Linked DNA regions of Drosophila melanogaster. The protein of the gene in region 3 interacts with the protein of the main gene of each other region in a pairwise test. Each region holds a gene or a part of one and is shown on either strand. Other genes may lie near its edges.

The links. The genes of interacting proteins can lie anywhere in the genome.
Region 1: the proteins of E(spl)m7-HLH (region 3) and CG12496 interact in a two-hybrid assay, tested with the Drosophila melanogaster proteins (one large-scale study listed by BioGRID).
Region 2: the proteins of E(spl)m7-HLH (region 3) and CG14005 interact in a two-hybrid assay, tested with the Drosophila melanogaster proteins (one large-scale study listed by BioGRID).

Annotation. Positions count from the first base shown.
Region 1 is NC_004354.4:2,408,858-2,412,662, reverse strand, and holds CG12496 (uncharacterized protein), read left to right. Parts: upstream 1-1,761; 5' UTR 1,762-1,866; coding exon 1,867-2,928; 3' UTR 2,929-3,298; downstream 3,299-3,805.
Region 2 is NT_033779.5:5,800,010-5,803,792, reverse strand, and holds CG14005 (uncharacterized protein), read left to right. Parts: upstream 1-1,817; 5' UTR 1,818-1,906; coding exon 1,907-2,121; intron 2,122-2,184; coding exon 2,185-2,923; 3' UTR 2,924-3,276; downstream 3,277-3,783. Other genes in the region: CG7239 (uncharacterized protein), read right to left, coding at 1-1,021, 1,081-1,388.
Region 3 is NT_033777.3:26,035,437-26,038,582, forward strand, and holds E(spl)m7-HLH (enhancer of split m7, helix-loop-helix), read left to right. Parts: upstream 1-1,601; 5' UTR 1,602-1,726; coding exon 1,727-2,287; 3' UTR 2,288-2,583; downstream 2,584-3,146. UniProt on the Drosophila melanogaster protein: Participates in the control of cell fate choice by uncommitted neuroectodermal cells in the embryo. Transcriptional repressor. Binds DNA on N-box motifs: 5'-CACNAG-3'.

The DNA of each region.
Region 1 (3,805 bases), on a different chromosome or scaffold from region 3:
CCTTGTTAGGCAGGATGCTCGTTAAATCATATTAATCAACATGCCGGAATCCTTTCTTAGCGCTGGAAACTCTCTCAAAAACCCATTTAATCCTTTTGTGCGGCTGTGTAAACAGCAATAACTCAGCGCCACAAAGAGAATCGAAGGACTCGGGGACATAACGAGGGCAAATCGAAGGGAAAAGAGGTAAAAAGTAAGCAAAAGCAGGAGCGCATTTCGCAAAGTAAACGTTGAAAAAGAGTTGAAAAGTTGAGAAATTCGCCATTTCAGTGGATGGAACGGGGTAATCGATTAACTACCCCAGCACCCTTTTTGTGTCCCTATCCAGGATGAAAGCCGATCGGAAGATAGTCACATGAAAACATATGAAACAAAACGACTTTCACCACAAAAAAGCCGAAAAGGATAACGTGCGAAATATACGATCCCCGTTAGCGAAAATCTTTCAGCAATCGATCGCAAATAAAGATATCTCCAGGGGACCAGAACCCATTCAAAGATGCCTTTACATGCTGAACTAGATCAGAACGTCAGATAGCAAGCCACGTCGGTCACGGACACTTTGAGTGATCCAAGTCCAGGAGATGACGAGCGCCGATCACTTGAACGTCACTTAGGATCGCTGGTCGATGATCACTTGAAGATCACTCAGGGATCTCGATGATCACTTCATCTACAGCTGGTCAAGAGCCACATATGGGGGCAGTTATCTTTGATCTTGTCATCGGAAATATAATCTACTTATTGGTTCCATATTTCATATTCATATGGAGGACAGCGGCTGTGCTTTAAAATATAGATCACTACAAAGGTTATGGGAACCATTTCCTTTTACATTTACATTTCAAAGTTAAATCCATACAAGTTGTGAATTTGCATTGCATGAGGCCCATCTATTTGTAGAAAGAACACTTATTAAAAAGTTGATAATTTGATAATGCATACTGTGTACAAACTTTTCCCCTGTTGGGTGAGCAACTGACGCTTTGCACAGGACTTTTCCCAGAGTTTGTAACGTTTTTCTAATGCTTCCTTCCGGAAGTGGCAAACATTTTCAATTAAAGCCGCCGAGTATATAAATTGCATTTGCGGCCGCTAAAGAGCCGCAATTAATACTGATACCGCGCTACGACAAGTGGCTAAAATGACGAGGAGCTGTCGGCCAGGAAGTTGGACTTGGCATCGGCTAATTAGCCGGCCAACCTGACTTCCCTTCTCCCTTTTCCGTTCACTATTTTCCAGCCTGTTGCTGCTCTAAATGTCCATTCAAATGAGGGGGAGACAAGGGCGAAAGGAAGCAGACTTCCTTGAGGGGAATGAAAGCAAATTTAATAACCAAGCGCTGGCCGATAGACATCTAGATGTCATTTTCGTGTGGTGGTGCTGTGGATGAGTGCCTGGATTGGAGTGGGTGATTCTCGGCCGGTACTGCGAACTGTGGGAAAGGACGAATACCTCCAATACCTCCATCAAAATATCAGATCTCGTTGGCATAGAGATCATACTTTCATATTCTAAGCTAAGCTGCTGATATCCTCGAGCTTGTTGCTCAAGTTCCTCGAGATCCAAAGACAATTTGCTACCACACACATCCGTTGGCCAAAGAGAGTCTTTTCATCCAAGGAGAGAACGCCGGAGAGAGCGAGTGTCCTTCTGCCCGCCGGGGTGCCTCTTGCGCAACAACCCCTAGCCCCGTAACCCCTAGCCATTAACCCCTGAGCGCCGAGCGGGTATAAAACGCAGCCCGCTCCCCGTACCGCTTCAGTTTGTCAGCGAGAGCGGTCGAGAGCAGAAGACTAGCAGAGTCTAGAAGTACATCTTTTTTTTTTGTGCACCAGGAGCAGCAGAAACAGAACCACACACAACATGCTGAAGTGGACGGCATCGGCGCAGCGCCTGAACGAGATTCCCGTGCACGATCAGGATGCCAACCAGCCGCAGAGGAGGAGGCTGCAGAGGAGGCAGCGCCGTCAGCGGAGGGCCACCATTGCCAACAAGGAGAACGTGCCTGACACCGTGGGCTACACCTCCACGCCAGTGCCCATTACCCGGCTGCGCAACAGTCCCCTGGTCCTGGCGCCGCTGAGCGATATCCGGAATGTCACCCCGGAGGCGGTGGTGCGCAGTCAGGCGCCCCAAAGGGTACAGAGTGTGCGATACGCCACCACATTGCCACGTTTTGCCGAGGACTACTCGCCCAACGGACTGCCCAGTGGTCAGCACTTGGCGCTGAGGGGCCTGGCTCCGTTGGATCCCTTTCTGGGCCAGCCGCGCTATATTGTAGGCTCGGGTGCAGGAGTTAACAAACTCAAGCAGCGTAGACTGGACGAGGACTTTGTGGCCACCTTGGAGCCGGAGTTGCAGGAGACGGCAGTGCCAGAGCCACCCACCCCCAAGGTGGAAGTGCGTCCAAGCACACCGCAGCCCGCCTCCACGCAGATGGGTGATCAGACCTTGGATCGCCTAATCGATGCCATCTTGGATTCCGCCTGCAAGGCGAACGCCAGCAGCAAGAAGAAGCCGAGAAGGTCCACCTTCAATCTGCGCAGACGCACCTTGGTCAAGCAGCAAATGGAGTCGAACTGCCCCCAGGAGGTGCTGTCGCCATCCTACGCACCTGGAGACGATCCGGCCTCGGATCTGAGCTTTGGCCTGGTTCCCCTGCCCATGCACAACCTGATGCCCACTCCGGAACCGGCATCGCCCCTGGCCAAGATTCCTCACAACTTGCTTGTCCAACTGGCCACTCCAGTGGCCCCCAAGTCTGCCCCCTGCGACAACACCTTCTGCCTGGAGACTCCAGTCAAGGCCCTGAAGAGGACCCGCAAGGAGATCGTCGCCAAGGAGTCCCCCATTAAGCGCTACAAGGTCGACGAGCGCAATTACTTCGAGGTGGGATTGGCCCTGCCCTCGTCTATATATGTCTGAGCAGAGGTAATTTCAAACAGATCCTCGGAAAGCCACAAAAATGAGAAGAGAAACTAAATGCGAGATGGAGATGAAGATGGAGACGAGAAAGCGAGCAACGCTGACAAACGGGGGGAAAACGCTTAACTATGACGCTTAACTAGTTCCTAAGTCGTAAACTAATCATCTTTCAATTACTGTACATAATTTCTTAGGCCACCTTAATCACTATTTATTCCAATTACTAATATAACCATTTTTTTTTTTGCTGCTGTTATGTAGTTTTCGAATATACCTTTTTTTTCATTATTTAATTTTAAACAAATATGAATATTTATTGCTACTTTAAGTTACCCAAATAATTATTTTTTCAAAATAAAAGCATTAAATCAAAAACAATGGAGTACACTTTTCTTTTCTTTTGAAACGGGGAAAACTTTATATATCAGCTTATCATCATTAATGTCGCTTTTTTGAGTAACTTTGGCTACTTCCATGCGTACTGCCCAATATAGGGATATGGGATTGTATTGATTTCAAAATGGTGATATTTGAAAAAGACTAGACTATCTTCATAGTCTAGAAATGTTTTCTCATGTATCCATTGGAATCTACTCTTTAAATGTTAGGTTTATAGTTGGTTTCTGAACTATTTTCGAGATACGAACAAATATCATTTTTGTTGTGCCATAGCATCGCATCGAGTTTTCTGATGAATGCGAAACATCTGCGGTGACCTTCGTCACCTACGCAATATCCCAGCTCGTGCCGATTGCATTTTGACCTGCCGATACGTACAACATATATTTACACAGTTGCTTGACCAAGCGATTTGCTTTGCTTTTCCAGGCGACCAAAACAAACAACGGCGATGCAGGTTGGGAACTGGGAATAATTG
Region 2 (3,783 bases), on a different chromosome or scaffold from region 3:
GACGTGGCTCAGAATCTGCGCCTGCTGCTCAAGACACTTGGGGAAGAAGGTCTGCATGAGGTCGACCTTGCGTTCCTCCAGCTCCAGTCGCTGCCGACATATCTTGGTTTGTTCGTAGAGCAGCTGGTTCTTTCGCCGAACTTCCTCCATGTAGAGCGCCTCCAGCGAGTCTGCGTGTGGGGGATTCACAGATCCGAATGGACGACCGCGCTTCCGTGGCACAGGGACGGGGGAGGCGCCAACGACGGCGTTGTTGGTGGTCGAAACTGGAGCTGCAGCCGGAACCGATGCCGATACCTGTGCGGGCACCGGCGCTGGCATGCCTCCGTTTGCGTTTGTGGCCACGCTGATGGTGTTATTGCTGCTATTGATATAGGCTACCGCCGTTATGGGCTGATGGTTGACGGTCGATGTGGCCGCAGTGCTAATAACGCTGTTGTTATTGAATTGAGCCGGCTGCTGCTGAAATTGCGACTCATAGTTTGTTTGGAACTGCTGCTGTTGTTGCTGCTGCTGCTGCAGTTGTTGCTGCTGCTGTGGCGTCTGCAGCTCGAGCAGCTGAGCCGGCTCGGCTGGGGAATACTGTTGCAACTGCTCCTGAAAGGGAATGGAGCGGTACTCATCGTCCTCGTACTCCTGCTTGACCACCTCGTCATACTGGTCCGTAAACAGCTCCGTGTTGAAGCTAACTCCGCCGCTGGTGTTGTTGTTGTGGCTGCTGCCGTGATTGCTATTGCTGCTGCTATTGTAATAGGTGGCAGTGCTTGGCTCACTGGCCAGTCCCAAGCCTTGCTGCTGCTGCTGCTGAACGGATTGCTGCTGTGGCTGCTGCTGCAACTGCTCTGCGGACGCATCATCCCGGGGCGGTGTCATGTCGCGGTTGTTGAGCAGCGCCTCTGGCGGCAGCGGATCGGCGTTCTTGGGCCTGTGCAGGTTCTTCAGGATGCGATTGATAATGTCGTACTTCTTCCAGCGCGTAGCATAGCTCGAAGGATCCGCCTGCAGCTGTTTTTTGACTTGCCTTAAAAGGGAAACCAGTCAGTTAATCCGGTATAGCAAAGTGTCTAAACGGTTACCTACCTGAACTTGGCCCTGGTCTGGTTGACCTTCATCTGGATCTCCTCGGGCTTCACGTCCACGGCGAACCGGTCGCGCAGTTCCTCGGCCCACCGGCCAAAGAAGATGGTGTTCTTGCCGGTGCGCGTCAGGCGCCAGTTGTCGCGTCCCCAGATCTCGTACAGGCGCTCCTCCTCGCTGGGCGTCCAGTAGCGACGCGCCTTCTCCTTGCCCCTGCCATCGAGCAGCTCCTGACCACCGCACATGCCTAAGTCCTGCTCGGCACCGCTGCCGCTTCCGCCCGCGTTCAACGCCAGCTTCTCGTAGTCCATCGACTGCTCTGCACCGGCTCCTGATCTGCTCCCGCAGATGTATCCCTGTAACGTTGCCTTTGGATATGCGATCTCCACTCTAGTTACACAATGCGACGCTGTGGTAGAATGGTTGAAGCCAAGTGCAGTTTTTCCGCACAAAAAATCAACAACAGCTCTGATACACAGAAGAGTGTGACCTTGCGGCGCGAGAACGCCGAAAATGCCTAGATTCCTGAGCGAATTTCCTGAAATAAGTAATATAATAAATTTCATTTAGTACCATATCAGTATCATGTATATACTACAGCTGGGAGAATGGCTTTGGGGCTAGTCCAATATTAAGAAATAAAATTATTAAGATATTAGATATATCTTTTCCAGATTTCAATAGCTCTATAAGAAAATTTAAATCATTGATGGTATTTTTTGGCGCCTGCCGCGCTCAAGCGTTATTGGTATTTCCACGCCTGGTCCTTGGTCACGTACGAAAATGTTTGGATTATAACGATTCCACAAAATTGAAATTAGACCGGAATATGAGCGGCCAGAAGCACCTGCGATTGCGCTACTACACGTCGCTGGAGGAGGCCATGCTACTGCGGCTGTGGCGCGAGCACCTGCATGCCATACCCTCCTACACGGACAACCTGCCCATTTTCCGGGAAATCGCGCACGGCCTGCAGCAGAACGGAGTTCGGCTCAATAAGCAGGAGGCTCGCCGGCGCATCAACAGCTACCGCAACAAGTATTTGTGAGGCGCAGCAGCGGCTCGGGTCAGTTCACAGTGCTAATATCTCCTTCCACTTCTCTGCAGGAACGATCGCAATCGCGTGGGGGGCAATGCGAACTTCGCGAAGGATTGGCGTCTCTACGCGCTGATCGATTGCCTCTTCTGTCCTGCCTGGCCGTCGTCCGCCCTCTTCCATTTCCGCAATGTGCTGGAGACGATCCGTGCGACAGCACGTGTGGATTTGCCCGCCCTGCCGCCACTGCTATACACTTCGCCCGCCCAGCTAAAATTTGAGCGCGACTCAGAGGGATGCACCTTCCTCGATGCCCAGCCCCTAGTTCCCGCAGTAGTGAAGACAGAGCCTCTGCCAGACGAACACCACCAGCTGGTGAATATTGAATACAAGCCCACAGTGACGCAGCTGGAAAACGCGGCTAGCCACTACCTGGAGAGAGCTACTGCCGAAAGTGTCATTCAGCGGTCGCCTCTCACGCCTGCCAACCACATCCTGCCCGAGGCAGAGGATGCGCCATATGGAGGCCACACCAACGGTGGCCAGACGGACGCCGAACGTTCGGCGAGCAAAAGGAGACGAGGGCGACGTAGTATACTGCCGCACTCGGGCAAGATCACAATGGCAATAGTGGAGGCGCTGCGCAAGGAGAACAGTTTGCTCGAGCAGCAGAACGACGCCTGTCTGCAGTCGCTCGTGCGCAAGGAGAAGCAGTTCCTGGACATGAAACATAACTTTCTGGCGTATATGGAGCGGCAGGAGGCAGTGCTGGCGTTAATAAAGCAAACGACCATCAAGCTGGAACCATGATCCCGACTACTAGCACCACGTGGTAAGGACATTGTATGACAGCTTTAGCTTTAAGTTGGGAATAGAGTCGCGGCGCTCGACCCTGTGTATGTTTTTCAATTCGTTCCTTTCTCAGACACAGATGTCTAATTCACTCGACGTACAAAGCAGCAGCATAGCGAACCGAAGATATTATAATTTCTCAAACGTTCTTTTTCTAGCGTCATAAGTGTAATGTGTATGAACAATCGTCTGTGCAAAAGATCAATCTATACGGTCTTTAGTCTTAAATTAAAAACATTGTCTTGAGGCGAACTTGTATGGTAGCTACATTTTTAAAAAAAAAACTAAAACTAAACAACTGGCTAAAAAATAAATTAGATGAAAGACTATTATACTATATATATATACTATACTATATAGACTATACTATTATTTCTATTGTTACAGAATATCTTGTTGATATAATAGTAACGAAATCAAACATAAATTCAAATGAAATCAGTGTGAATAGCCTATTAAGTTTTGCATTTCGATCAACTTAGCGTGTGCAACAACCGCCGGTTATTTGTTCATCAACCCCTGCTGCAGCAGTGTGGCCGTAGCCGGAATGTGAAAATATCCGCAAACACCGCATGCGGACCTCTCTTAGTCGCTCTCTTAGCGCACAATGCGCTCTCTGCCAACCGAAATGCCACAGACTTTTTGTAGGCTTTTCCACTTTTTCGATTTCGAGACTTCGAGCGAAACGGTCGTGTTTTTCGCGTGTGTGCGGGTGGCGGACGCGCGTGCCAATCGGAAAAGGCCTTTAAATCAAATGAGTGGCTCGCCAAAGGAGCGCATCAAGGTGTGTGCGATTGTATCGAGTGTGTGTGCTTGTG
Region 3 (3,146 bases):
TTCGAATGGAACGAAAATTGGTTGAAAACAATTTAGGGTCTTGTCACAATCTTTAGATGCTTTTAGCTACAAACTACAAAATGGTTTCTTTTTTTAGAAATTTTTTAAACATCATAACCTGACAAGAACATCTTTTCCAAATATTTCTTTATTTCACCCATCTGGGTACAGTAATCCCATACATAGATATTCTGTAAACTGCAACCTTCACGAACCTTAATGTTTTTCAAGACTCAGGTTCCCACTCACCGTCGCAGCTAACAAAATTATCCGTAGCAAGTAGAAAACACCTTTCACAAAAGTCCCTATACTCGGACTATATATGCCTAGAAAAACCTCTAGGAACAAATGTACCTTTCCAACATAGCAGATAGTTTAGTAAAAATTCTTTACAAGTAGAAACACATCGAGAAATCCATAAACACTTACTCTAAAACCTGCAAGTCGTAAAATTGCACGCATGTTCCGTTTGGTAAAACCCCAAAAATCACATTCGAAAACTCACATTCCCACGACTTTGAATAGAGGTTCTCAAATTAACCGTAGCAAGTTGAGAACAGGCAACAAAAAATCCGTAAGATACTGATTTCCAAACCTGCGAGTCCCAAAATTGCACACATCTTCGCCTTGGAAAACCCCATTTCCGACATCCCAAAACTCGCATTCCCACGATCCCTACAGAAATTGCTAAAACTTTGTCTAGCAAGTAGATAACAGTATGCGTAAATTCCGTAAACCTTAAATTTCACGTAGTTGGAAAAGCCTTGAAGAATTCATTCAAGCAAGGCACCCTCAAAATTCCCGCATGTGTTTCATCGGTTTGGCCCACTGTGCCATGTGCATAAGGGCTCGGAACTCGGAGCTCGGACTCGGGACTCGCACACGGGCTACCTCCGATTATAACTTATAACACCAACGAGCGAGAAAAATCTTGTGGGAAACTTGAGGGCAAAGTGTTTCCCACGATTCGAATGTCAGTGGAAAGGAAAACAGAGAAGCAGCATGTGCAACCACCGTCGCACCACCACCACTGCACTATCGCATCTTCATCCCCTGCCGAGACTCACTTACACCGAACACCAGTGGCCATAGCAATAGTACTGAGAACATATTTAAAGTTCTAGATAATGTTTATATTTTCAAAATCACTACTATTAAGAAGTGTGCTAATTTAATTTTTTAGGTGTAAACGTATAACATTATGTTAATTTCTTTTTGTTTAATAAAACGACATTTAAGTGCTTTAAGGGAAACCCATTTGAAGTAATTGTTAAAAACGTAACGTACTTCTTAGGTATATAACAACAAATTTGTATATTCGCTCGAAGAACTATAGCTGCTTTAAACACATTTCTCATACTATTTTTACCGCAGGTGTGTTCCAAACTTGTTTGTGGAGAAAAACCCACCACCGAAAATGCAGGCGAGAGGATCGTGTCCCAGTGACTGAGTAAAAGTAGTTTGCTCCGCAGGTGGTGGTTCTTCGGAGGCTCCGCAGCTCTCTCTTCTCTCTTTCTCCGAGCAGCGTGCGCTGAGCACGAGACGCTCTCGCGGCGGCACGTGCAGCTATAAAAGCAGCGGTAACCGGAGACGAATGCAACATTTCGAACGCAATCGTCGTGCAGTCAACATCTCAGGATAACCTCCTCCGAAAGATCGAAGAAGTTCTTCAACAAGTCGTTCTTCCATTTACCTAAACGCAACAAATAAACAAAACAAACACACAATGGCCACCAAATACGAGATGTCGAAAACCTATCAGTACCGCAAGGTGATGAAGCCCTTGCTGGAGCGGAAGCGTCGTGCCAGGATCAACAAGTGCCTGGACGAGCTCAAGGATCTGATGGCCGAGTGCGTTGCTCAGACTGGCGATGCCAAATTCGAGAAGGCCGACATCCTGGAAGTCACCGTGCAGCATCTCCGCAAGCTGAAAGAGTCTAAGAAGCATGTTCCGGCCAATCCCGAACAGAGTTTCCGTGCTGGATACATCCGGGCAGCCAACGAAGTGTCCCGCGCCCTGGCCTCCCTTCCCCGAGTGGATGTGGCTTTTGGAACCACACTGATGACCCATCTGGGCATGCGTCTCAACCAACTGGAGCAGCCCATGGAACAACCGCAAGCCGTCAACACTCCACTCAGTATCGTCTGTGGATCCAGCTCTAGCTCCAGCACCTACTCCAGTGCCAGCTCCTGCTCCTCCATCAGTCCCGTTTCCAGTGGATATGCCAGCGACAACGAGTCTCTGCTCCAGATCAGCAGCCCCGGACAGGTGTGGCGTCCCTGGTAAACAAAGATCTACTTGGAAGGACTGAATTCCCGACGGGCAATCACGCAATTGGAACCGCAGCTTTAGAAAAAATGCTTTACAATGATCCTCATTTATTTGTTACGTTACCAAGTTTTAGGTTTCTAAGTTAAGTCTGTGATAGGGCACGCTTTATTAACTTTTGTCTTAAATCAATCGAGCAGAAGTCTGTTTTTTACTCTACATATATACAAATGTTTACCAGCTAAGAGATCTCAAGAACACAATATGAAAAGATACAAAATGAAAAACTTAAATACAAATCAAAATATGAAATGAAATTATACAAGAATCTTATTATTTGGGGAATCTATTTTACAGCACAATCCAATAGGGGATATTGAACTTCAGTATTTGTCTTTAAATTCCAATAGGAAGAAGATTCCATTGAAAATATTTAATGTTGGTATGCGCGAACTTTAAGGTCCAATATAATAAAACGATCGTGTGCACTAGCTTATTTAGGACACGTGTAAAAAAATGGACTTCCCATAAATTATGTTCATTATCTTAAAGCCCATCATTATCCTAAACGAGCTATATTAATAACAAGTTTCAATAACAGTTAAACATAATAGCAAAACATGCTCCACTAATGTGCACTTAGTTGTCAAGCATGCATTTAATAATAAAAAGGAATTTAATTTCATATTTTTAATGGTCGTTATTTTTCATTTGCACGATGTGTTTACTTATATTCTATTTCAGTAACTATTTTGTCAACAGACTATGAAATGAAAGTATTTGACATCCTTTAGCACAATACAATACATTGTTATAAACCTTAAATGCGGCATTATAATTTTTCCACCAATAAAAGGTCAATAAGAATGGTCAAGAA